Linked DNA regions of Canis lupus familiaris. The protein of the gene in region 1 interacts with the protein of each later gene in a pairwise test. Links are inferred from orthologs where the notes say so. Each region holds a gene or a part of one and is shown on either strand. Other genes may lie near its edges. The genes, in order: KIF5B, PRKAR2B and CDC5L.

Region 1 (10,504 bases):
ACAAGTGAGTAACAATATTGTACACATATAAAAAGATGCAGAGGGCAGCCCTGGTGGCGCAGCGGTTTAGCACTGCCTGCAGCCCAGGGCGTGATCCTGGAGACCCTGGATCGAGTCCCGCGTCGGGCTCTCTGCATGGGGCCTGCTTCTCCCTCTGCCTGTATCTCTGCCTCTCATTCTCTCTGTTTCTATGAATAAATAAATAAAATCTTTAAAAAAATATAAATAAAAATAAAAAAATAAAAAGATGCGGAATGCTGTAAGGTTTTCCCAACTTCTATTACCAACATAGCGTTGACAGACTCAGCTTCATAACTGGGACACACCCACAACTGTCTTAAAGACTAAAATCGGTGACTGAAGACCAACTTACAGCTTGTGGAGTTTTAAAAAACTCCTATTGTTCTCCAAATAGCAATTAGGTTTGCTAATACAACTCAATAATTCTTAATAGTAAGAATTATAAAGGCACTTTGATCTCCATGCTATTAAACTGTACCTTTGGAGATTAAAAGGGGAAAATGAATTTTGCATCAGGGGCATGAAACCTTTAAAAATAGTTCTTGACTGCTTTCCTTTAGATAGGTGAACATGGATAGGTAAATAGTAGTGAACACGGATCCTGAGTCCAACTCTAGATGCAATTTCTGGACAAGAAGTTGGTACTGACAATAATAAAACATTAATAATAAGACAGCTCATCTGTGGTGATGCTGCAAGTATAGCAATCACAATCCCACAGTTAGATACTACCTTTAGCATCATTCTAGGAAGGTGGCAAATCCTGCTTTATAGCAATAACAAATAAAGACCCTTATCTATGGCAGAATTACAAGAAGAGCCTTCTATATTGTGCTAGGTAGGCTTTACTCCAGGAGCTAGGAATGTAACAGAAAACAAAAACCAAATTATAGGGCAGCCCGGGTGGCTCAACGGTTTAACACCACCTTCAGCTCAGGCCATGATTCTGGAGACCCAGGATCAAGTCCCACATCGGGCTCCCTGCATGGAGCCTGCTTCTCCCTCTGCCTGTGTCTCTGCCTCTCTCTCTCTTTTTCTGTGTCTCTCATGAATAAGTAAAATATTTAAAAAAATTATATGAGCTTATATATCCTCTTATTTTTATGTGCACATTTCTTAATTTACAGTTTGAACAATCATCTAATAATTTTATTGAGTAACTAGGAGCTAACTTATTTTCTCTTTAACTTTAGAATATTAAGAATAGCCAACAAGTCTTCAAATGGCATTTTAATTACCTTTTAACAGACCGTCAGGACCTAAAAGGATAACCTTCTTCCTTCACCTCTAAGGATTTATATAAAGGAGAAACTGAATTTGAGGCTTGGAAATGCTTAAGAATGGATACTATCAGCACTGAGCTTAGATAAAAAGAAGTTACTTAATTTCAATGAAGAATATTTGTACTAAAGTATTAAGAAAACAGAATTATATCCTACCGATTTCTGATTTAGTTCATCACTAAGCAATTCATACTCCTTAGTTTTATCTTCCACTTCCTGAGACTTCTGATCATAATTGACAGCAAGTTCCTCTAAGGCTTGTAAAACTTCTTTTACTTCTTCTTTAGAGGCATCGTTTTCTGCTTGCAGGCGATTCAGTTCAGCTTGCATATTATCTTGATCCCTTCTGGTAGATGCCAAAAGCTACATACAAGAATAGAAGTATACAGAGGTTTTAAAAAGGTATAAAGGCTTAAAAAATCTATTTGCTTCACCATGTGCTAAACAAAAAGGGAATAAAATGTGGATGCTATTAACTGTGTGAACGTTTATTCATTCAATAGACTATCTACTATGTGCGGGCACTGTGGATGACAGCAAAAAAATAAAAAATAAAAAAATAAAGACTTTGCTTTGAGGACTCTAATAGAAGAAACAAAGACACATAAATAAATGTAATACAGGATGGAATGTTAACTAAGAGCCAAAAAGGAGGGACAGGACATGACAAAGTGCTTGGTAATATTTAAAACAAGAGAGTTATTCATGAAGAAGGCTAGAATTGGCAGATTTTTAGTTATGTGCAAATTCATGTATTAGAAAACAAAATGCATACTAGGTTCATGAACAGTGAGTACAGAACAAAAAAATTAGTAGCTGTCTAGAAGACATGCTTAAAAGTTCAGATCTTCTTTGGTCAACAAAGGGTGGCACCTGACCTATGCCTCAGGAAAACTTAGTATCAACATATATAATTTGACTGCAGAGAAGCCAACAGACTAGTTAGGAGAAGAGGGTCAGTTGCTGTCAAGTAGGAGCATCTAGAAATTTGTAGGAGTATTTCTAATGGGGCAGAATGCTAAGGACACCTAGAAGCAGGGGCCATGGATGCTAAAGGTCCTGTATGTAACACACAGCACAGAATAATATAATGAAGAATTGTGTAAATGTTACTAGTGCCCTCTTTGAGAAAACATGCTATAATTGAAGTACAAAGGTGATGTGACCAGGATCATGTTGACTGATGGTGGCTATCTCTTCCTTATTGAAGCTGTGTAACCTTTGCCTCCATATCCAAACCAAATCTTAAATGAAGTATCATTTTTAAATTACCCCTCTGTTCTGCCAGGTAAGATAAATTGAGGGTCCTAAACCAGGTGACAAACTAGAGAACTTGAAAGAACTAAGATGAAAGTAAAGAAGGCAAAAATCAGCTGGTTCGATGAGGGCAGACATGGTAAAAGAGGAGTAAAAAAAGATTTCATTCACTGACATCCTTATTCCCACAGTAGGTCATACCTCAAATTATATAATTATTAAAGATAGGTCAAAGCAATTCAGTTATTTTTTCTTCAATCATCCCTTGAAACCTGTTTCTGTGTGTTTAAGTGAACAAGTAACAATAAAACACTGTTTTTTACATTTCTTCATTTCCATGTGGAAATACTCTTCATAAAGGAACTGACAGTTTAAAAGTATAGTTAAGTCCATCTCAAGGATTAGTAAGACAGGTTTTGGGGAGAATAAGGAGATAAAACAGCACTATATATAAAACAAGGAGAGTAGAAGACAGTTAAAAAGTACAGTAGAACTATATTAAAGAATAGTACTGAAAAGTTATCCTCTCCTCTCCAGTTAGATAGAACTCAAACTTAAAAAAAGAAAAACCTTAAGAGGAAGTCAATCTTTGCTTCACTCATGATGTATCATATCCACAGTGAAGCATGGGCATATTAAAGGTACTCCCATATTGCAAATGTACTCCAGGATATTCTGAGCTCTCTGTTGGTTCATCTTTTATGTTTATTTTTTCCATCTCTTATGTTTAAATAGTCATGACAAACTGTAAGCTTTTCTGACAGCAATATGTACAATATTCACCTTACCTCTTCTTGATCCAACATTTGTGTCTTCAGTTTCTCTACCAATTGGCTCTGTTGATTAATTTCTTCATCCTAGAATTTTAAAGTAACAAGTCATTGTAAGATTATTATTTCCCTGACCAAAATACTTCAAAACTGTTTCTCCAAATTAAACATAGCTTATTTCAATCTCCTAAAAAAATGCTGAAGGCTAGTCATTTGTTTAAATGCTAAGAAATAATAAACATGTTTAAATTTATTATTGAAATAATGGCAATGCAGTTACTTCAAACCTGCCATATTTGCTTAAAATACACATAAAACACCACCTAAAAATAAAAACAAAACAAGAACTATTTACTTCTAGTCTCTTTACTGCTCTCGTTTTTCCCTTTCTTGATTCATAATTTGTTATTTTTCACAATAAAGCTGAGATAATTAAAGCAGGAAAACATTATTTCCACTTTATTTTGTTCCCTAATCTCCTGCATCACCTTTATTATTGAGTCTAAGATCCCTGATTCTTAGAGAAATCATTTCATTAAGATTCTCCAATGACCCAAGGTCTAATTCTCTTTCGAAAATTCTTTTAAAGAAGAGAAGAAAACACAAGTATGTCTCATACACAGTTCCTGCACAGAAACAGAAACTGTGATTTTGTATTTTTTATCAATACCATGACCCTTAAAACAATGTGAGAGTTAGGGGTGCTAACCGCCCCCACCATGGAGTTGAAGATCCACATATATATAACCTCTGACTTCCCAAAAACTTAACTGTTGCTAGCTGTTGAATGAATGGAAGGCTTACCAATAAAGATAATTAACACATATTAGCACACATTTTTACGTTACTGGGTTACATAAGGCATTTTTACAAGTACAGTAAGCTAGAGAAAAAATGTTATTAAAATCCTAAGGAAAGTTTGTTTATATTATTGTACTATATTTGTTTTAAAAATTCACCCATGCAGTTCAAACCAATGTATCTGAGGGTCAACCTAACAATCATTTTCAAAAGAAACTAAGGTAGATATATATAGGTTCCCTGGATCCATAACATTAAAATTAAAAATAAAAATACCTATGTCATAACATTCCAAAACAAAACATGAACAACAAGCTACCTTGTCATCAAGCTGTTTGTACAATTTCGCAATTTCTTCTTCACACTTTCTTCTTTCAGCATCAGTAAAGTTTCCAGTAACTCCAATTGTGGCTGCTGGTTTATCATTGGTAATAGTAACATCCTTATCTACTGCAAAAGCTTCCAAGTTGGCTTTCTCTTTGTCAAACTGTTCATCAACAGGCACTGTCTCTCCTAAAATAAGGCAATAACATGGTTAATAAACATCTACCTGTCTAAAACAAATTATAATTTTATTCAATTTCAGGAGCTCTCGCCAACTTTATCTGCTCAGTCCAAGATTTGAGAAGCTACAATTACTTTTGACTCATCCCTATCTTCTAAATCCAGTCACCAAATCTTGTAAATTTTATTGCTTCTACCCCACTGTGGAACCTTTCCATCTTGACTTTTATAGCTTCTAAGATGGCCTCTGTGCCTCTATTTATTATGTCAGGTAAAATCAGAATTTAAAAGATTTTCATCATTTTTAATTGATGATCCTTAATGCTTAAAAAGTAAAAACGGATATAGTTTATATTCATAACAGAGTCTCAAGTTTGTAAAATAGCTTTATATTCATACTCAACAAACTCAAAATGACACATTCATAAATTATTACCATTACGCCACCGGTTGAGTTCATTTTCAAGCCACTGAATGGTGTTCCGCAGGGTCTTATTTTTTTCCTTTTCTCTTTCATATTTCTTTTTCCACTGTTCTGCAGTTAATTCTACATTTACACAAACTGTGTTCTTAATTGTTTTAGCCCTAAGAGAAGTAATTGCAGAAAAAAATTTTTGACTAAAATTAATTATTTTCAATTGATACCTACAGATCTCTGTTATATATACACACATATGGCATTTTTGGCTAAGTAATTTAACTTGACAATTCTTGTTAAATTATCTCTATGACTAAATACAAAGAACCATAATTACTATAGTGCTTATTCACAAGCTTAATAAATTTGGGTCAGTCACAAATTGGTGATTATCTTAAAATTTAAAAATCAACCTGATAAGGATAAAGAACAAGGGCCCATATTTCCCCAATTCATTTGGAAGGCTAAATTAATATAAAAACAATTACTGTTGAAGGTCAAAAATAAAATCATCTTTGACTCTCCTAGGTTAACCAATTCATAAATGGTTATCTCATTATATGAACCTGTCACATATGTCTACAGACTAATACAGAATTATATTTGTCAAGTTTTTATTATCTGAATGCAAATACTTATTTTCTTTAATGCTAAATTAAAGCTTCTCAAATAAATTTGAGTAAAGTTAACATCTGACTTTCATAATTCAAATCTAAGCACCTTTAAAAATGGACCTTGTTTGTATTATCTCTCAATTAAAAAGTTGTGTCTGGCATACTAACAATATGCACTGATTTGAATATCTACCTACTTTTCCTAGACTTAATAAACAAAAGACCTATCTATCATTTAGACTGGTTTTTTTTTTTTTTTTTTTTTTTTTTTAAAGATTTTATTTGAGAAAGAGAGAAGCACAGAGAGAGAAGGAAACTCCCCGCTGAGCAGGAAGCCTGACTTGGGGCTCAATCTCAGGATCCAGAGATCATGACCTGAGCCACTCTGGTGCCCCTAGACTTTGTATTCTCTTAACAAACCTTTGACCAAACAGGAGTGTAGATTTTGTTTCAGATTCATTGTATGACGATGGAGAACAGCAAATTACAATAGTGGTTCTACAGTTTCCACCTAATGAGTCTTGAAGGATTCTCGTCATCTTACTATCTCGATATGGAACATATGTCTATGAAAAAAAAAAAAAAGACCAATGGGTTTCTATGCAATAAAATTTGTTATATATGGGTGACGGGCCCTGAGGGGGGCACTTGATGGGATGAGCACTGGGTGTTATTCTATATGTTGGCAAATTGAACACCAATAAAAAAATAAATTTATATATAAAAATTTGTTATATAAATATGTTGGACTTTAAGTTACAAAGGAATTTTGGTTATTTTAACTGATTAATATTAAAATGGGAACTAAAATCTACATACAAATACTATAAATTCCCAAAAGACAACTAATTCACATATACTGATTGAAACACACCAAATCTTTCACTCAAACATCCATGCATACACATATATTGATATTTGAATAATCCCCCATAAGATAACAATAGGGAAAGAGAAGACATGTATACTTACACTTCCCTCAGCCAAAGCAGAAATGACATTGCCAAGAGCAGAAAGTGACTTGTTGATGTTCTTAGCTTCATCTAGTACAGCACCTTCAGCTCCAGTTTTACTAACCTACATACACATTAAGATTCCAAAAGAATGAAACAGAATTTTAAGTTTAAATGATTTTCTAAAAAAGTTCAGAGGTCACCAATAACCAGCAAACAATAAAATGAAAAGCTTCATGATTTTATTCACCAATTATTTACTCTAAGCTATCACTATTTCTTAAGTATTAATCGTCTGAGAACTTGGTCAAGTAACTAGGTGCATGAGAAGAATGTGATTAAGGAGATACCAAATTTTATTTTTAGTTTATGTTCCTGAAAATAATAAGTTTACGGATACATTTACAATATACTATTTGTTAACCTCCTCTGCTTCATTAAGAGAGGAACCTTTTAAAATTTGCTAAAGCTTATTCTTGATATTTTAACTGTTACTGATTTTAAATACATAAGCAAATTCACTTCTTTTAAAAATGTGAAATATATGTATTAAAAATAGGATAAAAGTAATATTTTAGCATTGTTGACTGAAGAAACAGCCTCTCAGAATTCACAAAATTAAAGACAGGCTTTGAAGGATGTGTTTAAGACTTAAGTAAAAGGGAATTGATATGTTACTTCAATCAGAAGAAACAAAATTAGCAAAACAGCAAAAATAGTTACAGAGATCAACATTAAAACATTTGAACTTATTTTGATTTTCACATAAACTAGAATCAGATTAGTTTACTGTATAGTCTATGATAGTTAAATAATCACTGAAAGGAAAAGAAGTAGGTACATCCAAACCAGAAGACTAATGGATAGTTACCAGTTTTCACAGGGAGCCCCACTGTCAGTATGGTAAAATAGATATCAAAAATTGGAAGATGGTACCTAATAAAATTTATAACTACATATACTGAACAAAAGTCTCAATAAAAACACACTTGAAGTCAAAGGTAACACCTATTGGGGTTGAACTGGACTATGGCACAAATAACAGTAATTTGGAACCAGTTTTTCAGTTTAAGTAATCGTAAGCACTGGCATCAAAGCTTTTCTTTTTTTTTAATCTCTCAAATCTGATTTAATAGTTTTTAACATGTTAACAACAATGCTGAAGTCCAAATTCAAACTAAAGTTTATAAAAATGCTTAAGTATCTACTAGAATATAAAGATTTTACCTTTTCACTACCAGCTAAATCAACCAGATAAAGTTTTCCACTCAGCTTTTGTTCCGTTTGCGTGTTCTCTTGTTTTACATTAATAAGAAATATACTGTGACTCCTAGAGCTATGTTCATTCATATCTGCAATGAAATTACACAAACAACTATAAACAAACACGGCTTTCCCTACTAATAATTTCTAAAGCGTTATTTACATAAAAATCCAATATAATTAATCAAGTTGATAAAGGTATTTTAAGGCAGTTTTGTGCCTAACTAGTGTTAAGACATTTTACTTACTTGTAACTGCTACATGTCTGTTGGATTTTCCTTCGTCAATGGTATCCATAACTTCATCTGGACTACATACAAAACGTTCTGTGCACCCCTATAAAATAATTTTTTAAAGTATGTCAATAGCCATATTGACAATTGACAATTTATTACTTTTTAAACAAGCATTCTGTATTATTTTATAAATACCTTTACATAAGGAACTCGATTTTTATCTTCATGAACTGAAAGGTTGGTCTTTGAAACTGAAAAAAAAAAAAGTATCAGTAACATTCTCCTAAACTCTAAAACTAGTTATGAAAGAGCTAATTGTTGATTATTTCTCTTCCCAAGTGGCCTAATAACAATAGGTAAATTTTTAAAATGACACATCACTATTAAAGAAAAGACTCTGTAGAAACAGTAGGAGATTTAAACAGAAACTAATGCAGCAATATAAAATTTGAGGTCCAGGGTAACCTCTATTACCTACATTTTGAAAATAACATTATACCAGAGTAGTTTAATAGTTTCCCAGGGCAATGAATCTAACTGACAGCTGCTGAGAGAAGACGAGGACTCAGGACTTCTAATTATAATCTAATTTTCTACTTACTACTTAAACATAAGCAACCATAAATATGTGCTTTTTAAAGAAGTTATTCAGCGTGTCAAAGGCATTCAACTAACTTTAAAATACACCTGTTTCTTATAATTTAAGTCCAGTTCATTTGGTTACTTAAAAATGGCCTTATATCTGTTATTAAAAAAGTAATGTGCTTTTTAAAATGATAAAAGAATTTAACTTACCATCTAACAGGTCCCTTATCTTATCCAAATAAATTTCAAAATATGAAACCTGAAGGGCAAAGAAATAAAGGGAAAAAAAATCAATTAAAATTTTAAATTCATTCATTTGTTCATTAAATTTATTGGGGTCTGAGGGCTAAACACGATCTAGACAAGAAGGCAGAGTTATCAACAACTCAGTCACAGCTTATGTTCTAATGGCATAATCTGAATTATCTAAACTGCTCATGTAACTAAAAGCAATTTCCATTACATATCCTCATCTAAAATGAGTTAGACTCATGAGAAGAGTAAGAACCTTTGAGTTCAGTAATAAACTCCTTCATTTTATAGAGAAGGAGGCTAAGACAAAAGAGAGTTTGTGATCTTGTTTAAGGTCATCTAAAGGCAGAAGAACCCCAGTTTACTAATTCTAATGATTTTTCTACTATAATTTCCATAAAATAGTTTTTAAAAAGGAAGAGCATTTATTATTTCTTGGAATAAAATTATTCTAGCTATAAAACAAAATACAATCTTTCCCCAAGGATTCTACCTTAATATGAAATTCCAAATTTTCATCCATGGAGTAAATGTAATTAAAAATATCTTGCACTATTCTTGGAATAATCCCCATGCCTTCTGGATCATGAAGTTTACCCTAAACAGAAAACAAAATGAGACTTTAAGAAGTATGAATTAAAAGTAAAAACTTTCAACCTATAATTTGTAGTCAATAGAGAATAGTAATTGTAATTGTTGCCATTTTTTGGTGAAAACAACTCTACAAGGTATCTAAAAAAATCCAATTCAACTATTATGTATTAGTAAGTTACACATAAATACTGCAGGTCAACAAGGGTTATCAACTGATCTTAGCCTTTTATTTAATCACTAGATTTAGATTATCCATGCTTGTGCAACGAACATATTTTTGAAAGGTTTGTTTCTACTCATGTAAGTCTTTATTGTTCCTTCAGGTCAAATCCACGTAAATACAAGAAATGTTTTTGTTCTCTGTAACTTTATGGAAATGAGTAATATGAATTTATTACAATAAAATAAGCATTTATACAGAATGCTCAGATAAATGATAAAAGATGTAGCAACAGCATAAGATAACAAATACACTGTTTTCTAGATGCAAAGTTTGGACAGGTTCACATCTTATTAATAGCAGCACTGATAACTGTGGAGACATTCATATTAAAGAAGAGTAGTAGGTATTTGAAGAGAATTAATTGCTCTGAACAGAAATGAAAACATTAAAACATTCAAAATTTCAAATTCCTCATTATTATAAGGTAGTAGAAAATTCCCTAATTCTAAAATGCTATATATTGTGGTTATGCTGATAAAACAAAGCTAAATATGATTTCAAGTATATAACTTCATTATTCAAACTCCAGAACTGATTAAATTCCAATAGTGATGTTACCTGTATATTATTTGTACTGGAGAAAGTAATAAAGAGTAAATAAAGATGTTTAAGCATGGTAAAATCATTTACCAAATAATAACTGAATATACTATTTTGCAAACCACATGCAAGTATAGTTATGAAATGTTACCTCCATTGTGTGTGTCTTCCCAGAGGATGTTTGTCCATA
Region 2 (11,166 bases), on another chromosome or scaffold:
TATTTCAAGTCCTTTGACTTCCCAATTTCAATCCCTATGTTACTACTATTAAAATGAATAATGTTCTTCACTGTCCTACTTTGAAAATCACAATTACCATCTAAACTCAAAATATTTTTAAAATCTTCTCTATTATTGATTTATGCTCATAACTAAAATAATGGCTTCAGCAGTTTAGCCATTGTCATGAATGATGTAATTCCCATCTCAGGAGGATTCAAAACTACTATATAAATTAAAAACTTCTAAATCTCTAATAGCCAAAGACCATACAGTCTCGTTAATTATAAAATTCTGCAGCTCTTAGCTACTAATTATGAGCTGAAAGGATGTGGGTTTTATTACTGTGCAACATAACTTCACATTAAATCCTAAGTGGAAATGCCACGTAAGCTCATTTCCTACTTCATTTCTCTAAAAAGTGCAAACACTAGATTCATTTCCACAAAATAACAATGAAGTGGCTATTCTGCAAGAAGTTTACACTTCTGTTAAGATTTCATGTTAATGAGATCATTTGTCTTACACGGAAACAATGCTTGCTATGTGCACTGTCCTGAGGCCCTTATAAATATTAAACCATTTATCCCCTAACAACCTTAGGAGGTAAAGACTATTAGCATGATAATATGTCAATATGCCCAGCACAGTGCTTCATCCCTGAAGGAAAATGAATGTTGTCAGACTTTGGTGAACATTTTCAAACCAATTAAATGCACTGAAAAGGCTGATGAAGAGCTAACGACTGGCTGCTTTGCCTCATAATCATCTAGTAGCCAGAGAGAGCAGGTTCTTAAGTAAGAACACGGAGATAAAAGTGGGCCCTAATTGGGCAGCCCGGGTGGCTCAGTGGTTTAGGGCCACCTTCAGCCCAGGGCGTGATCCTGGAGACCTCAGGATCGAGTCCCACATCGGGCTCCCTGCATGGACCCTCCTTCTCCCTCTGCCTGTGTCAGTCTCTCTGTGTGTGTCTCTCATGAATAAGTAAATAAAATCGTTAAAAAAAAAAAAAAGTGGGCCTAATAAATCAGCCAAAGGAACAATTCAGTGAAGCAATAATTACTCTCTACAAGTTTCTCCTACCAGTTAGACCAAGAAGTCAACAGGTAAAAGTGTTTTGTACTACCAATTGGAGCCCAGTGAAGAATATTTTCACAGCAGATTATCAGGGAGCCAATATATCTACTGCCCTGATTCCTTTTGCCAGTTCATTTTAGGAAGACCACGTAAACCACTTCACACAAGTGAACTTCTGGGCTCTTATCCTTCAAGTTACAACAAAGTTTAGTGCTTCTGATTCTGTGTCAGAGATACAGAGATAAGGAATACTTGCTCATAATCCTCTAAGAAAACCTCTTAGATGTGTGAATATTCTTTCAAACGCTCCTTCAACCATTTCTTCTCATGAAATAAATTTGTTCTCTTAATCTCCCCCTGCCACCACCAGGAGCTCCAACTTTCTAGTATTTTGTGTGATCTTAAGGATCTCTTATAAATTCACCCATATTCCCTTTAAATTGTTTTTAAAAAAAATCATAGGTACATACAATTCTCCAACAAAGATTTGGCAGAGGTCAGAATTAAAAGGATTAAACCATAGTTTCTACATGGTGAATTTCTATTTATATATCTTGACATGCTTGTTTATAAGATATTCTAAATGTCTGGCATGTGTACACACTTTGAACTCTAGATTTTTCTTCCACAATATGGAAAATTAGTTCCTGTGTATTTTATATACAGTAGTTTATTTTTCTTCCAGTTTGATGTCTCTTCACATGTAATCTAATCTTTTTCTGACCATTTGTCAATTTAGAGGAGTATTTGGGAATTTTACTTACTTCATTTTATAATTTCAGCAATTTCACTGAAGAAATTATTGAGCAACACAAGCTCTCACAATGATGCCTGCACGAAACCATTAATTCCACTCCAAATCAGTACTGATCCAATTCTTTGGCCGGCTGTTAATTCTTCTAATACATTCTAAGCCTGGGGACACTAGCCTTTCAGAAGCAACATGTCATGCTTTATTTGCTACCTCTTGGATGGGGAAGACGGAGGCAGTCTCCACTACAGCTTCTCTGAGAACTTCCCTTTTAACCAGAATTTATAGCAAACTGAAAGGAATAGAAGTAATAAAATTTAAAAACAGGAGAGAAATGGGACAGCTACCAGCAGAGAAAGGGATTCTTTGGAAAAGCAGGAAGTAAAGACCACCTTCACCCATCTGACCATATGGCCTAGTGCTGTATCCATGGTCAAGCTACCAGACCCTGGCTCACTTATTTGATTCCACTACCATACTGAGGTCAAGGTTATATGCTTGATCCCTACATGAGTCAAATGAGCAACAGTCTCCTGGTCAAAAATTTGCCCAACTTCTCATAAATAGCATCACTTGTCTTAAAAGGATTCATGAGAGTGAGTACAAACCAATCCATGCAAATTCATCACCATTACTGGAAAAATAACCAGGACAACCTGATCTGTGTGAGTCAGTCCACTGAACAAACTTAATTTAGGATGAACTCTCTCGGGTCAGACAGATGGAAGTTAAGAAACACCAGACTCTGATACTTACTAGTCCTGTGTGTAACCCCAGACAAGTTCATTTTTCAGAGCCTTACAGAGAAAACACAGGGTCTCACGCAGATGTGATACAAAGGGGATGCTCAAGTGATGCTGGCCCAGCCCCTTCCAGAGATAAAACCTGGGAGTTGAGAGCAGAGGGATGGAGCCAGGCCCACCTGTGTTTCATTTCCGGTTTTGCAGCAGCCTAGCTGTTAAACACTGGACAAGTGACAGCTGGGATTATGAATTTGATTATGAAAGCATTTAGATAATGTCCAGCACATACCAAACGTCAATAAATGGTGGCCACTTTTTTAAAATGTTGATATGACAAAGACATTATCATCATCACTATCTGTTGATCAGTGTTTCTCACAGTGTGATCAGGGAACTATGGATATCAGAATGACCTGGGACGTCTCTATAAAAAAAAAAAAAAGGAAAGAAAGAGAGAAAGAGAAAAAAAAAAGAAAAGATCCCTTGTTCCACCCCAACCTATTCAAATAAGCTCACCAGGAGCAATGCCAGGTAATACTCATTTTTGAATCAAACTTCCCTGACATGCATACTAACATTTAAGAAATTAGTGACCCAGTTGGTCTTGTGCTGTAAATTAAGACTTGTGCAAGTAAATAAGACTTGTCTTCTAATACTTATGCTTTACTATGCTAGGAGAATTGCCCAGGATCCGATGTTTTTTTGGCAATTTTTTGCACCAAAACATTAAATTGATAGGCTCACTTCTGTTTGTTTTCCAATGGCACTATTTGACTTTTTCCCCCAATTCCTGCCAGGGGCCAGCAAACTATGGCCTTAGTCTGTGGTCAATTTTGTACATCCCCAACACATCTCCAGAGGAAACATGTGTTTAAAATGTTTTTGTTTTTTTTTTAAAGAATATTCAATGGAGACCATACGGTGCTCACAGAGCCTAAAATATTTACTACTGTCTAGCTCTTTACAAAAACGTTTGTCAACCCCTGGTAGCCTATAATGTTTTTTTAAACTGAAGGTCTAAACTAAAACACAATTTACATACTTAAAAGATAGTAATAAGAGAATTAATTAAAATAGTTGATATTAAAAAAAATAGTTGATATTCTAGTAGATATTTTCTAAGTGCATCTACTAGAAGGAAGTGCCATTGCCAAAATTTCTGTTATACATATATGCATATATGTATATCATAATGTCGAATTGTATTTGGTTGTAGTCAAAGAGTTTTAAAGTCCTTGGGGATAAGGGTGAGAAAATGAATAGTGCAACTGGTTAACGAGTATTCATTAAAACTCACACAGAGTAATTTTTACAATAAAGGTGCCTTGGAGAACATAAAACCATATAAAATGATTGAGAAGTTAATGGCTTATTCAACACAAAATGGAAATAAGAGCTGTTTTGTGTACAAACTACATTGTTGTAAAAAGAAAATAGAATCGTCAATGCAAACTACTTCATAAGAATTGTACTACAAAGAGAATATTTTAGTTATACTAACAGTAAATCATACTAAACATATATAGGGTTTTGTTGGTTTTGTTTTTTTTTTTTTTTACCACCTCCCTTAGTTCCTAGTTTCCTCCACCCTAGAAAACAAACCTTTTTTTTTTCTTCCTATATGTGTGTGTAAAGCGCACGTACATATGTTCATGCATGTGTCAGGAGCAGAAAAGAGTATTAGATGCTTCTCTCCTTTCTATGTCATCCATTATTGTTGGCTTCTCCTTCCCCTCTATTTAAATATGCCGGCTTTTACCTTTTTCTTGTTTCTAGCAAGGAAAGCATCTGATTAAATTCTTGTGCAAAAAGAACTGAGACTATGATCATCTTATCCCTGGAAACAATAAAAAGCCCAAGATGAACATTTTTAAAGTAACAATTTTCCTTTTGATCTTCAAAGAATACTTATTATTAATTCAGGGTTTTGTGACTGTTTCGGATGAGCTAAAAATACATTAATTTCAAAACACGGTTTCGACAAATTTGCAAAGAAAGGAAACACCTTCCTAGGAACACACTCAAGGAAATGACACTTTAGAACATTTTCATTTTATGGAATACACTGCAGACACACAAACCGCAAGCAGTGTAAATAAATACAGACTGGTGCAATGCCGAAATGCATGTTTATCTTCCACCACAAAGAGAAAAACACTTGCACACCGTGGAATTTTAACTTGGGATGCCATAAAGAGGGGATTTAGGCATGTACTGTAGGCACAGGAGGCTGTAACCGTGTGTGTGTGTGTTAGGGAAAGAGGCTTGTAAGCAGAAGGGGTGGGACTTGCTAGGAGTAGCTATTTGAGAAAATTTCCTTTTTCTTTCTCATTCATTCTTTCTAGCTTGTGTCTGGCACAGTCCTTACAATTACTCACTGGCTTTTCATTCTGAAGACAACCAACAAGCTTTCAGAACTTCCTACCGGTGTTTTTCACATACTTTTATTTTTTAAGGCACCAAATCATTGAATACTTGTTTAAAATAAAAAGCAAACCATTAGCCCGTTTCCTCATTCCAAAGACCCCATGAGTCGCAGGCAATACAGGATCCTTTGTTGCGTGTCCAAAAAATAGCACAGCGCGGTCCTGGTAAATTGGGAAAATAAGAGAGGACTCTGTTTCCCAGAATGTCAAAGTTACCGTCATAAACTGTGTCCTGCCCCAGCGAGTCCCAGCTTCACGCTCCCAGTGAAGGTGCCGCTCCCGGCAGCAAGGCCAGCCCGACCGGCGCCCCTCGCCTGCCCTCCGCGACGCTCCGTGCACCAGCCCAAGGTGCCTCCCCCACGCACGGGCTGTCGGTCGGTCCAGCGCCGTCTGTCCGACCGCAGGCAAAGTTGTGGGTCCGACGCCCCCCCCGCCCCCCCCCGCCGCGGCCGTGAGCCGCCTGCGCGCCCAGCCCCGGCACCTGCTCCGAGAGCCCGGACCCCTGCAGCGCCCCAGCTCCGGGGGAGGGCGCCACGCGGAGGGGGGAGCCCGGGATGGCCGCGGGGGGGCGAGGCGGGGGTGCGGGGGAGGAGGCGGGGGTGCGGGGGAGGAGGCGGGGGTGCAGGGGAGGAGGCGGGGGTACAGGGGAGGACGCGGGAGAGGCGGGCTGCGGGGTCCAGGGGGTGGGGGGAGGCGGCTGCGGGGTCCAGAGGGTGGGGGGGAGCTGCGGGGTCGGAGGGGGCGGGGGGAGGGGGCGGGCTGCGGGGTCGGAGGGGGCCGGCGAGCTGCGGGCTGGGGAGGAGCTGCGGGGTCTGGGGAGGCGGGCTGCGGGCTGCCGGGTCCGGGAGGGGCGGAGGCGGGCTGCGGGGTCCAAGGCCGGGGGGAGGGGGCGGAGGCGCGCTGCGGGGTCCGGGGGGGAGAACCGGGCTGCGGGGACCGGGAGGGGGGTCCTCACCGTTGAACGCGCCGGCGTCCGCGGCCTCCTCCTCCTCCTCGGCGTCCTCGGAGTCGGTGCGCGCGGGCTCCTCGGCGAAGTTGACCCCCTTGCTGGGGGTGCCTCCCCCGGCGGCGGCGCCCGCGTCCCCCCAGGTCCTGGCCTCGTGGCCGAAGCGCGCGGCGCCCCTGCGCTCGTTCTCCTGCTGCAGGCGCGTGAAGTGCTGCAGCGCGAAGTCCAGCAGGTCCGCGGGCTGGTGCCGGAGCACCTCCACCGTGAAGCCCTGCAGCAGCTCCGTCAGCCCCGCGGGGATCTCGATGCTCATCCTGCCGGCCCCGCGGCGGCCGCCCGGGCGCCGCCCTCGCCGCCTCCCCGGACCGGCCTGCGGCCCCGCGGCCGCCGAGCGAGCGCGGACGGCGCTGGCGGCGCTACCGGCTGCGAGCGCGGCGCTCTGGGCCCCGGCGGCCCGGCTGGCCCGGCTGGCCCGGCTGGCCCGGCGGCGGCGGCGGCGGCTCCGTGCGGCGGCGGCGGCTGAGCGAGCGCGGCCCCGGGAGGGCGGGCTGCACCTCCGGCTCCTCCCGCTCCCGCCGCGGCCCCGGCTCCCCGCGCCCCCGCCCCCCGCCCGGGCCGCCCCGCCCCCGCCGCGCCGCGCCGCGCCAGCGGGAGGGGGCGTCGGAGCGCGCCCACGTGACCCGCGGGAACCATGGCAACCTGGCCGGCGTGCCCGCGCGCGGAGCGGGAGCCGCCGGGCGGGGGCGGGGCGGGGGCGGCGCTCGGCACGTGGGTGCCGCCCGGCCCCGCAGCGCCTCGCCGCGCACCTGCCCCGGCGGCTCCGGGCGGCGAAGGCGCGGACCAGCGGACGAGCCCCCGCCCCGCCCCGCCCCGGGAGCCCCGCCGGCCCGAGCTAAGTGTCGGCGGCGCCTTTTGTTCGGAGCCACCCGAGCTGCGGCTCCGGTTCTGGACAAAGAAGTGAGACCCCGGCCTCGCCGCAGCCCCTGGGCTCCCCCTGGCTGCCCCTCCCGGCCTCCCGCCGCGCAGCCGGCTCAGCACGGGCGGCCCCGCCGAGGCCCGGGCGTCGGCCCCTCGAGGCGCCCACGAAGACAGACGCGCTGTGGGCGGGGGGCGGGGGGCCCTGCCGGCAGGACGGTGCAGCGCTTGGGGTGGAATGTCACCGTCAAGACAGATGGTCTTCGAGCAAGATATGCTTTGCACCACGAGGCTCTTATTTATTTTAGAGCTTCACCTTACACGCTGAGGGATTTGAATTCCATCTCCAAAACAGGTTTCTTAATATAAGGAGAACTAGAACCAGGGACATGGACTTTTAAAGTTGAAGCCCTTGGCTTTGAAATGAGGCTTATTCGGCAAATGTTCATAGTTTTGAATTAGAAAATTGCTTTTTACCAATTAAATGGGGGGGGGGGTTCTTTCCAGATTTTATTTATTAGAAAGAGAATGGGAATGTAGAGGCAGAGGGAGAGGAAGAGGGGGACTCCCTGCTCAACAGGGAGCCAGACCCTGGGCTTGTTCCCGGGACCAGGGGATCATGACTTGACCCAAACGCAGACGCTTAACCCGCTGAGCCACCCAGGTGCCCCTAAGTAACTGTTTTTTTTTTTTTTTTTCAAAACAGGTACTTCATTTTCGATAATGACATCATATTGTAAATAAAATATTTGAAGAGCAAGCCCAGCTATTCTGATTAATCTTTCCACTCACAAAAAAAAAAAAAGAACAAAAAAAGAACACACATGACTCAGAAAATTTTATAGAAATTCATCTTGGAAAAAAAATAAATTCATCTTGATATTAATCCTTTGTTCATAATTCAACTTATAATCGCTCCATGAGTGAATGTATTTCTCGATTTCTGCTTATCAACCTCATGATAGTATGTCATTTTGAAATACAGTAAAATACATCTAATTGTGAACATTTTAAGCCATAAGCTTTTATAAAATACTATGATTCTCATAAAGGGCAATATTAGTCCAACTCTTAACTGTGTAAGCATTATATACACCATGTAAGCATTAGTATCTTTATAGATCCAGCAGTTAAGATGAATTTTCATCATGTGCCTTCATTTATGACTTTTTAGAAGAGTTTATTTATTGAGAGAGAGCATGTGCACAGAAGGAGAGCGAGAAGCAGGCTCCCCGGTGAGCAGGGCGTATGTTGTGGGGCTCGATCCTAGGACCCCCAGATCGTGAGCCAAAGGTAGACACTTAGCAGACTGAGCCACCCAGGCGTCCCCTTATGATGATAATTTTATTAAGATTAATTAGCATTGTTCGAGCGTGGGAGAAAATGCACAATACAGTAGCTTTAGGAAGACAGAAGCTTATTTCTCTATAACGTAAAGGTAAGCAGTTCAGGACTGGTATGGTGGTTCCATGGTCCTCAGGTACCCAGGCTCCTTCTAGCTCATTGCTCTGTAATCCTCAGTTTGTGGATCCAAATTTGGTAGCAGTCCAGAATTGCTGCTCTACCGCCAGTCATCTCATTCACATTTAAGCCAAGAGAAAAGTGGGAAAGAAAAGTGATTCCACCTCCCCCACCCCCACTTCCCTCCATCCCCACATCTCCATCCAAACACAAACACGCCTCTCTAAGAACACTTCCAGAAAGTTCATCACACCAGTTCCTCTTAAACCATCTTGGCCAGAACTTAGGCAAGATGGCCACATCCAAGGTATGGCAGGTTGCATTTTCAAAGGGAACACTAAAAATATCTCCTGTCCCTTGTGTTCTTCCACAGTGTGGCCTTGCCATTCTTGCCTGCATCAAGAGTTGAAATCTTAATTCCCCTCCTCCTGAATCCGGATGGGTTTATGACTGCTTTGAAAGAAGTCATGCCAGGATGACGGAAGCAGCCAGCTCTGTGATGGCCTGCCCCAAATCCTGACCCACAGAATCTGTGAGCATAATAAAGAGGTTGTGTTAAGCCTCTAAGCTTGGGGATAATTTGTAACACAGCAGTAAGTCTGAAACACATAGCCCTAAGGAAAGCTAGGGAATGTAAGCTTTATTTTGAGCAGTTGTGTGCCAAGCAAACATTTGGAAATTGAGAACCAATTCTGCCGACAATAACCAGTGTCCGCCAAATGGTTAACATCCTCTCCCCCAGGAATGACAGAAGAAGAAACCACCACTTTTCCAAACATTTACAAGAACCATATTTCGAAGTAGCATATTTTGTGTTTCAAAGTCGTTTCTGTTGTTGGTCTGTTTTGTTTTTTGTAGAGTTACTATATAAGGCATGATACATGGATCTGTCATCAACGGCAATGCCGGGGTCATTTGGTTGTCATTTCTTTAGGGGTATAGAAGTGAGCCAGGCATGAATAAAATGCATAATTGGATTAGATGACCTATATGGTCTCTCCCATCCTGGGCTATTTTACAGCAATATAATATTAAAAGAAGACATGTGGGATTTAAAACATCTTTGCAAGCAGCTGTCTGATAACAATTTTTATTTGCATCAGTTCTTAAATCAGTAACCATGACCTGAAAAATTAAAGCTTGATCCTGGTAGTCCTATTATGTTAATATTTTGTTCTCAGAACAGACATTCACTTCTAAACTCCTATTCTAGCTTTTATTCACTATCACATAACCTTTTGGATAATATGTTGTGATTTTCTTTGCTTTCATTTTCAGACTATTTCCTTCTAAACCTTGGAGTGCAGTGACAGTGGCCTATGGAGACTCTTCATCTTTGGATTCTTTAAAAGAACATCACTGAAATTGATTCTTTGGTTGTTGATTTACAAAGCAATTTTCACCAGTTTCTCAGAGAAGCAGAAGCAATTGCAAAAGAACTCCAAGAGTTCAGCATTGGAATGAAGTGAGAATGCTACCAAATTTGCACTCACACATGGAAAATTAAATAGATATTGGACAGAGACATCAATTTGTTTATATGCAGCTGCTATCACAGGACGACAGCATGGACAAGCTATAGTTTAGGCAAGCTGCTCAATGGATAATCATAACTATGACCAATCAGTGTTTCTTACCAAGAGTTAATATGTCTCTGTGATGCAAGAAATATATACTCACTCAGGACATGAAGGCAAATGGAAAGGTCACAGGAGCTGTGCTGACACAGAGCCCACTGTGGCTGTCACTCTTGGTTTTTATATCCCTTCAGCAGTTCAGCACTGACTATGGTTTTGGTGTCTATAATTCATGTCCTGAAGAGAGGATAGTATGGTCTTGACCATCCAGTGGATTGGCTGGTGCTCTCCTGGTTCAGCCAGTGTGGCCAGTGGCATGCAGGATCAGGAAGGGGTTGGGTAGCATAAATATGTGGCAAGACTTGCCTTTTCAGAAAAGTCCCTAACATGGGTGCTGCTTGTAGCGTGGGCTCTCTCAGGACTTCTGAAAGATGACCACCTCAGAGCCCGGGAATCTTGGAAACGTTTGGATTAAGACTAAATAGAATGACTGATGTCTAGATGCAGCTTTGTAGCCCCAGATTTTCAGATTCAGTAGGTTAGAAGCGGGGCCTGAGAATTTGCATTTCTCCTGTGGGCCTGGGGACCACACTTGGAGACCATGACATTCGATTCCCCAGGAGGGAGCTTAGGAGCATACTGAGAAGACAACTCCTTGAGGTAGCTTTTCTGCTTAATGTCAAAACATAGGTTTTTTTTCCTCTGGCTAAGTGAGGACTAAATGTAACTCCATTATTCTGTTCTCCTTGAAGGAGTCTCATACAGCTAAAGAGATTCTCAAAAGCAACAGAGAATATGTCCTTAAATGCTACATTTCGTAAATGGAATACGGGTTTCCTCTTAAGGACAAGGTCAGGCTTTCAAGTTTATCTCTGCTTCCTGAAGCTCCACTGAAACCATGGCTAAAGGGATGGGGAAGATACAACAAAATTATGAACATAAGGACAAAAGACCAAGACCTATAATAAAAATTAAAAATGATAGTAAAGGGCACTTGGGTGGCTCAGTGGTTGAGCATCTGCCTTTGGCTCAGGTCGTGATCCCAGGGTCCTGGGGTCGAGTCCCACATCGGGCTCCCAGTAGCAAGCCTGCTTCTCCCTCTGCCTGTGTCTCTGCCTTCTCTCTGTGTCTCTTGTGAATAAATAAAATCTTAAGAAAAAAAAAGTAAACATTTTTAAATTATTTAGCCTTAAAAAGGAAGGGAAGTCTGATATGTACTACAATGTGGACATACATTGGAGACATTATGCTAAGTGAAATAAGCCAGTTA
Region 3 (10,504 bases), on another chromosome or scaffold:
TTAACATACAGTGTAATACTAGTTTCAAGTGTGTAGTGTAGTGATTCAACACTTCCATCACCCATTGCTCATCACAGCAAGTGCACTCTTTAATCCCCATCACCTATTTTTCACCCATCTCCTCACCCACCTGCCTTCTGGTAACCATCAGTTGGTTAGTTCTCTATAGTTAAGAGTCTGTTTCTTGGTTTCTCTCTTTTCTCTCTCCCTTTCCTTTTTTTCTTTTTTCCTTGCTGGTTTGTTTTGTTTTTCTTAAATTCTACATATGAGTGAAATCATATGGCATTTGTCTTTCTGTGACTTATTTTACTTAGCGTTACGCACTAGCTCCATCCATGTCTGTTGCAAATGGCAAGATTTCATTCCTTTTTATGGCTAAAGACTGAATAATATTCCACTGTAGAGTGTGTGTGTGTGTGTGTGTGTGTGTATTGCATCTTCTTTATCCATATGCACACATACATACATATATACACAGAAACATACATATGCCACATCTTTATTCATTCATCTATCCATGGACACTTGGGCTGCTTTCATAATTTGGCTATTTTAAATAATGCTGCTCTAAACATAAGCGTGCATGTGTCCTTTGAGTTATATTTGTATTTTTTTTGTGTAAATGTCTAGTAGTGTGATTGCTGGATTGTAGGGCAGTTCTATTCATACTGTTTTCCACAGTGGCTGTACCAGTTTGCATTCTTACTAACAGTTCAGAAGGGCTCCTTTTTCTCCACACCTTCACCAACACTGGTTTCTTGTGTTTTTGAGTTTAATCATTCTGACAGGTGTGAGGTGATATCTCATTATAGGTCTTAAAACAATTTTTTTTTTTGACTAAGCTCCACTCCTAATGTGGAGCTTGAGCCACCAGCCTTGAGATCAAGAGTCAGATGCCCTACCAACTGAGCCATCCAGGTGCCCTTATCTCATTGTAGTTTTGATTTGCATTGCCCTGATGATGAGCGATGTTGTGCTTCTTTTTATGTGTCCGTTAGCCATCTGAATGTCATCATGGAGAATTTTGTCTGTTAACATCTTCTGCCCATTTTTCTTTCTTTCCATTTTTTAATTGGATCATTTGTTTTTTGGTGTTGAGTTCTTTATATATTTTATCAGATATGTCACTTGCAGATATCTTTTCCCATACAGTAGGTTGCCTTTTAGTTTTGTTGATCATTTCCTTCAGTGTGCAAAAGCTTTTAACTTTGATGTTAATTCCCATAGTTTATTTTTGTTTTTATTTCCCTTGCCTCAGACTTACCTAGAAAAATGTTGCTACAGCTGATGTCAGGGACATTACTGCTTGTGTTCTTTTCGAGGATTTTTATTAGGATTCCAGTTTAAACAGAAAAAAATGATTATCTGATGGATGAAGCCATGTAAACTTGGAGAATGCTTTAGTAGCTGTTGGCAATTCTTAGTTTGTATTGTAATGAGAGAGTGAATAGACTGATTTCTGTTGCTTTATTGTCTTTCTACAAACTTACACAGATTTCTACAGCTTTAGCTCTTGAGCATGCATGTTGTTATAGACTAAAGTTTTCAACTTTATTGAAATGCGGCAAATATTGCATATCTGTAATAATGGATATAAAAATAATTTTTTAAGGCTATACGAGAGGCAGAACGTGTAAAGGAAATGAAACGAATGCACAAAGCTGTCCAGAAAGATCTGCCAAGACCATCAGAAGTAAGTGTTAGAACTTCTGGCTTTGGAAGTTTTAAGTTTCTTCTTTGTGATTGCTGTTTTTATGTCATTCATAAAGTCTGTAAAACAAAATTTTATCTACTTTCTGGAATGTAGTAAAGCAGTTGCAGATCTAATCTTTAAAATGTTTCACTGGTACAAATAAGACTTTAGAAGGAAAAAAATTTTTTTTTAAAATGTAAAACTGCTATTTAATTCATGCTAGGGCAAGTAAGTAATAGCATCAGTATTGCAGTGATCTGTTTGTTAATGGTACTTGTTTTAAAATTTTAGGTAAATGAAACGATTCTAAGACCCCTAAATGTAGAACCACCTCTAACAGATTTACAAAAAAGTGAAGAACTAATCAAAAAAGAAATGATTACAATGCTTCATTATGACCTTCTACATCATCCTTATGAACCATCTGGAAATAAAAAAGGGAAAACTGTAGGATTTGGTACTAATAATTCAGAACACATTGCCTATCTGGAACACAACCCTTATGAAAAATTCTCCAAAGAAGAGCTGAAAAAGGTATGATTAAACAGAAATATTTTGGTCTTGATTAAAGTATTGGTTCAGTACTGTGTATCATAGATGAACAGTAGCTTATTTTCTGAGGCTGATATTTATAAACAAATGAATTTGTAATTAGGAGATAGCTGGTCATATGACGTGTTAGGAGGACGACATACTTGACCATGCCCCTTTCCCCTTTCTTGATAGAGCTTCTTCAGGTGAACACTAGCTTAGGTGGCAAGGTGTTTTTGTTTTATGGGTATATGCCTGATGGACAGTTGCTACAATTGCCACTTCCTGTGTTCAACTGCTATTTCTGAGTAGAATTGAATACCTTTAATACTTCAACCTGGGGCAGTCCCGTGGCGCAGCAGTTTAACGGTGCCTGCAGCCCAGGGTGTGATCCTGGAGACCCGGGATTGAGTCCTACGTCGGGCTCCCTGCGTGGAGCCTGCTTCTCCCTCTGCCTGTGTCTCTGCCTCTCTCTCTCTTGCTTTCTCTCTCTCTCTCTCTCTGTGTCTCAATAAATAAATAAAATCTTAAAAAAAAAACAAAACTTAAACCTCATTTAGATTAATATGAGAAAGCAAGCACATATTCAAAATGTTTCTTTCACCTAGTCAAAGAAAGGAAATACCATTTACTGAATTTATTCCTTTTACTTGATTTCCCACTATTCTTTTGGATAAGGAAATAGAGAAACGTTTTCCTGTAGAAAGTCTCTCCTGCCTCTTCTCCATATGCATTTGATTATTTCTGCTTTGACAGAGCAAACAGCTATGATTGTGAATAGAAATCATTTCTTCCATGGTATGAGGAAATACAGTGGGTGCCATGGTTGGAAGCAGAGTGGTCATTAGCCATTAGTCTTTTTTTCTGTAGTGCTTAGCCTTGAGGAACAGACAGACCCGTTGTTGGAATCTGCTATTGCATACTTGGGAGGAAATCCATAAGATACCTTTTTCTGTCTTTTCTTGTGCTTTTCTTCTGTCTTATTCTTTCCATTTTCCTTGTTGAGAAGTAATATATGTTTATTAAAAGATTTTGAGAAAATAGAGAAAGGAAAGAGGATTTATTTAGATTTATATTTAAACAGTTTGCCTGTGATTTCTGAGGATCTGAGTTATTCATTTTAGTAAGTGTGACGGGAAACTGACATCTGTTGAGGGCCTCTTGTGGCAAGCACATTTAATCATTGGACTGGGGTTAAGAATTACACTCTGAATTCTGTACTTGAACAGTGTTCTTTTTTCGGAGGGAAAATAGGGGAAGATGGGATCAAGGGGTTTACTGTATTTATGGAAACCAAAATAAGGATCACATTATGATCTGTTGTAGCTTAATAGAAGATTCTGTAGGGGATAGATTCTAATAAAGTTTTTGAAAAATACGTAGTGCTTTGGAATTATTTGAAACCATTACAGGCTAGTTTAAATATTCTTTTATATTTTATGTATGTATTTATATTCCTCTCCGTTCCAAAAAGGATTTGAAACAGCTATTTACTTAGATTCTTTATGGAGAGTTTAAAGATAACTTAGTCATACTCTCTTCTTATAATTATAGGAGCTGATTTTATAAATTTTTATTATGTACAGTTTGGGAATGAAATACCATTTCTCTTATGAAGTGTCAGATTTTCATTAAAGATGTTACAATTGATTTGTTTTCATTATTTCCCCTCAGAGATACTGTTTTAAAGTGTATTCTTTATCTTCTAGAGACACGATTTTCCATTAAGTCTTTTGTATTTGATTTTAATATACTTTGGTCTGTTTTATTTTCTGATGTACTAGAATGATTGAAAGTTTTCTTTAAAGCATGAAAAGATAGTTGTCAGTTTTTAGCCATGAGGCAAAGGGCTGGAAAAAGTTTATGTGTTCTACTCATGGAGTCATTGTGTCTGATGTTGGGGTAGCCTCTGTATGTATTTTGTATCACTTAATCCCAGTAACAAATAGGTTGGTATTATCCTCATTTTACAGATGAGAAATGGGCTCAGAGATGTTCAGCAAATTCAGACAGCTGCCTAAATGGTAAAACTATGATTTGTACTCAGGTCTATCAATTCTATCCCCCTCATTCTTTCATCTTAAACTTTCTTAGTAGTAAGTAAAAGCTGGTCTGTGATCCATTATTTTCCGATCTGTGCCCCATCTCATTCTCTGGCAATGTTGGGGGCATTTCAAATGAGAAAACAGGCATGTATCAAAAGAAATGCCTAGTTCCCCTTCACAATCTTGTGAAGTCTAAAGTGTAGGGAGGCAATTGGTAGAGTGGAAGGAATTAGCCAAGCACAGGTGCCATTTGGCTTGGCCCTGATCCTGCCTTGCCTTTCCTAGTGATGTGTTTTTGAACATGTTGATTAATCTCTCTGAACCTTAGTTTCATCAACTTTAAAATGTGATTAATACCAACTACTTTGTAAGATGGTTGTGGTGTTTGGAGATAATGTAGGTTGAAATGTTTCTGGCGTATAGTAGATATCTGAGAAATGGTTGCTTCTTATTACAGTGATTGAAGGCAAAGGATATTTATATTGTTCAGGATACATGGATGCTTGACTTTTCAGATCAATCTGCCCCAGCTTATTGGCTTCTTAATTCATTTTAACTTAGATGTTTTCTCCCTTTCCAAGAAAACAACCAGTTAACCCAAACTCCTTCTCTTTACCCAAAGAAAGGAAAAACTAGTTTTTTAAACTTCTCTCTTGATGGCAAGTTATTCTAGTACCTAAACTTACTGAAATTATTACTGTACACAGGCCCAGGATGTTCTGGTACAGGAGATGGAAGTGGTAAAACAAGGTATGAGCCACGGAGAACTCTCAAGTGAAGCTTATAACCAGGTATGGGAAGAATGCTACAGCCAAGTTTTGTATCTTCCTGGGCAGAGCCGCTACACACGGGCCAACCTAGCTAGCAAAAAGGACAGGATCGAGTCACTGGAAAAGAGGCTGGAGGTTGGTATCCTTTTAAAATTCTAATTTAAAGTGTACCTTGATTGAAATAATGAACCGAATAATACCATTGGAGACAATTTCAGAAGAGTAGACCTGAGGTGATTATTGCTTTTGCAATTCTTTTTCTTTTTCTTTTTCTTTTTTTAAAAGTCTCTTTGTTTGTTTTAGTAATCTACACTCAATGTGGAGCTTGAACTCACCACCTTGAGACCAAGAGTTGCATGCTCTTCTGACTGAGCCAGCCAGGTGCTCCTTGCTTTTGCAATTCTTGAGAGAAAACTGCACTGAAGTGTTCTATCTTCTTTGACTTTTTCAGAATTGCTGATAAATGGGCAATTTATGATAAAGAGTGCCCTCCAGGTGATCACAGGTCAAACAGAACCTTTTAAATGTGGGAGCAGGAGACAAGAAGTTAACACTAGTCACACATAACAATGTTTATCAATGCTGAAATAGCTTGTTTTCTCTAAGGAGGGAGCTCAGTGGTACCAAGAAAATTTTATAGCCAAGGGAGCCCATTTATAAAACTTTGTTTTACTCTCTGTTCATCCTCTGATTCTTTCGAGTTTGTTGCAGAGAGAGCACCAAGCTGGATTATCTTAGACAGTGGCTTCTGTGATTTTTTACACATCCTAGGAAATGTTGAAATGTACGAGATGGGAGTTTCTTAGTGTATGGTTTCGTAATATGGTCTTTGTGTTTTGAATTCCAGAATCTGTGTAGGCAATTTTCCAATGGCATGTAAATTGTGGTTCATGGACCACTAGGCTGCCTTTTGGATTCCTAATGGTGGCCTTCAGGGATGTTTCTGAGGCCAGGATGGGATGGGGAAGCAAGGGATGCTATAGGCAATCACATGCAGAAATGGCCTCAATTTCCTCCTAAGTAGTTCCTAATTTCTTTTTACAGAAAGCGTTGGAAAATATTTTTACTTAGAGTTAAAATAAAAAAATGATAATATCACTTGGGGTGGTTGGTGCTGTTGTGAGGGCTAGGAAAATGAACAAAAAATAAAAGCATTCTTTTAATATGAAATTATTCTAATTCTTAATTTTACCCTTAAGACCACATGTATAGGCACCTAATGGTTAACACTTGTGAGCCTCTTTTTTCATTTAGTGGTAATGAGTTTCTCTTTGAAGTAATTCTCATCTTGGTTGAAACCTTTGCAATCCAAGTAATGCTAGTTACTCAGTTGTATTACTAGCTTCCAGCAGGGTGTGCTGTTGTGCTGTGTTTTTAATTCACGATTTAAAGTCTGGGAAAGGAGAACATCAGTGGTCACATTTAAAGTTATATTTTCTGTTGTATAGGCTTTGTTTCTTATTTATAAATGGTAGTTAGCAGTGTAATCCTGATCTAAAGTCACATCATAATTGATTAGAAAGCTGTTTGGAAAGCTTCCTTGTAACATTTATATACAAATACTTTGGTCTCTCACTCAGTTTGAAAAGCTTCTCATTTGAGGTGGGTAAACTTTTTCTGCCTCAAGTGGTAAGGACATTTTGTGCTCTTTAAGATATAAAAAAAGTTTTTTTTTTCCTAAATCTCATTTACTTTGTTGAGGCACTAACTTTCATGACAGCAAATAAATGTGTCACAAAGTGAGTGGTGCCATAAAGTACAGTAATTTTTATTTTTATGTTGAATTGGTCTTGTGAGTTTTGAAGGGAAAAATACAGAAAGAACCTCTGCTGTTCTTTTGGAGATTTATTTGGGTCGTTTATGAGCAACCATTAAAAACATGTGGTTCTCTTTGTTCAGTTCAGTACCAAGAACTGAAATCTTCCGTTGAACTATTTTTGTTGAAGGATTGGTGATTTTGGAAGAATATTCATAAAACAGTCTGAAGTAATTTTTCTTTTCTTGACTTCTGGATAACTTACTTTATTGTTTACCCAGCTAGTTACTTTTAAAGAATATGTAATCAAATCCTTTAATTTAGTAAACTACACTTATTTCAAATGAAAGTTCATTAAATCTTTAAAAAGAAGAAAAGAGACTCAAAAACCCAAATAAACAAATCCCCCATTTTATTTGTATCCATCCCTAATTCAGAACTAGGTTTGTGTTAGCTTATTTTAGTTTTTGAAGACACAATTCTACTGGTTTGAAATACATAAATATTTTATTTCAATTGTGGTAATTCTTTCATCATTTCAGTTGATTGCTAAATTATAAACATTATTCAAAGTTTGTTGTGGGGAAGGAACTCCAGTCGTATTATATAAACTGAATGCTATACTTAAATTATTCTTTCCACTCTTAGGTTCAGGGAGATATGCTTTTCTGTGCAAGCACAATACACCATGGCTGCCAGTGTGTTTGATTTTTGCTGTCATGAACTTTGGAACAGTGAATCTAAATTATGGCCCTATCACAGTGTATCAAGCAAGATGAAATCCAGCTTTGTCGTGGTTGGTGTCTCCTAAATGGATTAAAAAATATGCCCTGAGGTTTATATTGGAGCTGGTCTTTGAGCCATTACTCATTAGTATTTGAAACGTAGAACTTAAATGAAAACCCTTAAGATATTCATTTAAAACTAATAGAAAGAACCATCTCAGATTTTATGTAGAATGTGGTGCATGGTAAAAGGAGTCTGTTAAATGCATAGAATCAGAATGTAGTCACAGGTTAGAAGTAAGCAGGAAAGACTTCAGAATTGTAACCAAGGTCATGTATTTTATTCTGCTTTGGAGGCAGAATTAATTTTAGAATCCTGTCAGATTTTTTTGTGTAAAGGCGGCAGCAGCAGCAAACAGAAATGATAGCTAATATCAGGAAAGGAAAAGTTTTTAGAAAGCATAGCATATTGAGGCTATTTAAATATGGTATTTTAATAGCTTCTGAGTGCATTGTAGGTGTATGGTAGGAGAGTAGAATGATTGCTATTTGTAGTGATGCCCCAGATTTAAAAAATAAAACATTTAATTTCTGTTTAGTGTCATCTCTTTCCTTTTGTTTGTTTTAAAGAGGGATGGCTAAAACAGTAGGAAAATTTTTATTAGATGGTAAAAAATAAAACGGTTTTAGTATTTGATGTAATCATATGTTTAGTGAGTATTAGTGAGCATCTGCTATGTGCCAGCCCTTGCTCCAAGCCCCTGGGAATATAGTAGGAACAAAGCAGACAAGCTCTGTGCTCTTGTGGACTTCAGTTATCTGGAAAATGCTTCATGTGGAGAACCTCATTTTTTGATGATGCCAGATAAATGAGTCATTACTGTATTTGGGAAGTGCAAATAGAATTTGAAGTGTTCTAATTTGTTTCCACTTTAAGTGGAAATAGGAAATTGTCTGAAGACATAATTATTTTGAGTGAAATAATTTCCAGTAGGTGCAAAAGTGAAATAAGAAGTCTGAATTTAGGCCTGCTATTAAATTTAATAGTATTTGAAATAGTATCTAAACTGCCGTGTTGAGGAAGTTTGGCTGAAAAGTAGATTTTGTCATGTTAGCTATAAAAATGGAAAGGCTTTCCTTAGAGGTGGAAACTAGGTCCAGAGGTAATACTTCTCCCTGTATTTTACTGGCACAGTCAACTTAGTCAAGAAATATTATGTAACCATCAGCTTCTTGGAAATAAAGTAACTTAACACAGATAACACATTTAAAATCTTTCTCAGTGTATTTCTAGAACTCTTATGAGGACTCCTGACTGAATGGTTATATTTCAGCAAAATTGGCACAGTGGATCATATTTTCTCAGTTATTTTCGTTAAAAAGTCAGATATTTTTACATAGGAAAAAATTCCTCTTAATACTTGGAAGAGTGAAAGCTTCCGGTGCAGATTGAGTTGTTGCGCTAACCTGGGGTGACGGCCTGTGTGTTGTAGTCACTCTGCAGGTTTCATGCTACCTCATCAGAGGTGTGTGGGGGAGGGGGCAGCGCAGGGCATAGGAGAGAAGTTTCTAATACTCTGAAATGCTCCCTTTCTCGAGTTCTGCTCTTTCCTTTGATCCTTAAAGGCATCGACAGAGCTCTTGTTTCTTTCAAGAACTCTAGAGCTGGATCAGAGATTTCCTTGGTACAGTTGTGTTGCTTCTGTTAGGCCTCAACATTGAGTTGACTTTGTCTCATGTGACATTTCCTAACTCATGCAGTTGTCAAGTGCTCTTGGTGTTCTGCTTTGTTGGTCCATTACTGTTCTTGAAAAGGATTTTGGTGAGGTTTTGCCTCACTGCTTAGCTTGCTTTATCGGGATGCAGCTTGGTAGTTGCTAACTTGGGTTGATGCTAGTAGCAATAATCACTTACTTGGACCTGCAGCTCATCAGTATGGAGAAGGTTCACTGATAGAACTTAATACCAGTGAATAGCATAGAGATTAAAGGAAGGGCACTCATGGACTCTTGTTGTTTGCAAACATTTTGGTGGTTGAACCACATCGTTACTACTATAGGATCATATTGCTAAATGATGGACTAGGAAGTGGAGCTGCCATCAACTCTGTATTTATTTTGGGTATCCTTAAACCTGTTTTTCCAGTAGTATAAAGTTATATTCTGGGCCCCCAAGCAAGAGTTTCACTGAGGGATGCTCTTAATGTTTCTGAACCTCACTGTAACAGGCTTTAACTGAAGACAGTATTGGAGACCCAGGATAATGTGTTTATTTTGGAATTACTTAAGCTTAGTAACCTTAACAAACTTAGTGAGTTTGAAAGTAACAATTACACTTTTATAAGTCCCATACAGCCCCCTTTTGTAATGACCCGAGGAAACACTTATGGTTCCACTGATTCATCTCCTGGGGACCATCAGTTTTCCATTGGTCTCTGGCCAGTCTTTTTTAGACAGTTTCTCTTCTATGCATTTAAGAAATAACATTTGTAGGCGTTTTTCTAAAAATAATACCTGTACTTTGTAGAAAATTTAAGAAGATATTAAAAAACAATTTAAAAAGAAGCCTACCATCCAGACATAATCGCCTTAAACATTTTGAGGGGTGTGTATGTATATATGTATATATTTATATATATGTGTGTGTATGTGTATTTGTATGTATATCACTACATATAGAAAAAATTACCAGATGCATCCACGCGTGGAGGAAAGGAGGAAGGTATTTAGAACTGGATTGGAATCACCGTATACTACTTTGTTAACTTAATGGTATATTATTACAAATAACATTTTTAAAAAAGCCTGATCACTTGCTCTCTTCTATAAAGTTGTGGCAAAGAATAGCTTTGCTGAAATCCTCAGGTAATTATATACTAGTTATATTCTGCTCAGCTTCTTAAAAAGTTGTTAAATAACCTTTTCTTCCCTGTAAAATTTTTCTGAGAGATGTTTGTTTTCTTATAATTTTATAGCTTATTAAGA

What was found.
Region 2: the proteins of KIF5B (region 1) and PRKAR2B interact in binary tests that used the Homo sapiens proteins (3 or more experiments, as listed by UniProt). The two-hybrid records come from large-scale screens. The link is inferred for Canis lupus familiaris from reciprocal best matches to the Homo sapiens genes KIF5B and PRKAR2B.
Region 3: the proteins of KIF5B (region 1) and CDC5L interact in a two-hybrid assay, tested with the Homo sapiens proteins (2 studies listed by BioGRID and IntAct). The link is inferred for Canis lupus familiaris from reciprocal best matches to the Homo sapiens genes KIF5B and CDC5L.

The regions. Positions count from the first base shown.
Region 1 is NC_049223.1:12,692,815-12,703,318, reverse strand, and holds part of KIF5B (kinesin-1 heavy chain), read right to left. Parts: coding exon 10,466-10,504; intron 9,556-10,465; coding exon 9,451-9,555; intron 8,965-9,450; coding exon 8,916-8,964; intron 8,372-8,915; coding exon 8,316-8,371; intron 8,221-8,315; coding exon 8,133-8,220; intron 7,974-8,132; coding exon 7,849-7,973; intron 6,746-7,848; coding exon 6,641-6,745; intron 6,235-6,640; coding exon 6,089-6,234; intron 5,222-6,088; coding exon 5,073-5,221; intron 4,646-5,072; coding exon 4,452-4,645; intron 3,419-4,451; coding exon 3,350-3,418; intron 1,668-3,349; coding exon 1,461-1,667; intron 1-1,460. UniProt on the Homo sapiens protein: Microtubule-dependent motor required for normal distribution of mitochondria and lysosomes. Can induce formation of neurite-like membrane protrusions in non-neuronal cells in a ZFYVE27-dependent manner.
Region 2 is NC_049239.1:13,746,721-13,757,886, forward strand, and holds the start of PRKAR2B (cAMP-dependent protein kinase type II-beta regulatory subunit), read right to left. Parts: upstream 6,272-11,166; 5' UTR 6,257-6,271; coding exon 5,953-6,256; intron 1-5,952. UniProt on the Homo sapiens protein: Regulatory subunit of the cAMP-dependent protein kinases involved in cAMP signaling in cells. Type II regulatory chains mediate membrane association by binding to anchoring proteins, including the MAP2 kinase.
Region 3 is NC_049233.1:12,997,239-13,007,742, forward strand, and holds part of CDC5L (cell division cycle 5-like protein), read left to right. Parts: intron 1-1,612; coding exon 1,613-1,693; intron 1,694-1,984; coding exon 1,985-2,227; intron 2,228-4,976; coding exon 4,977-5,174; intron 5,175-10,504.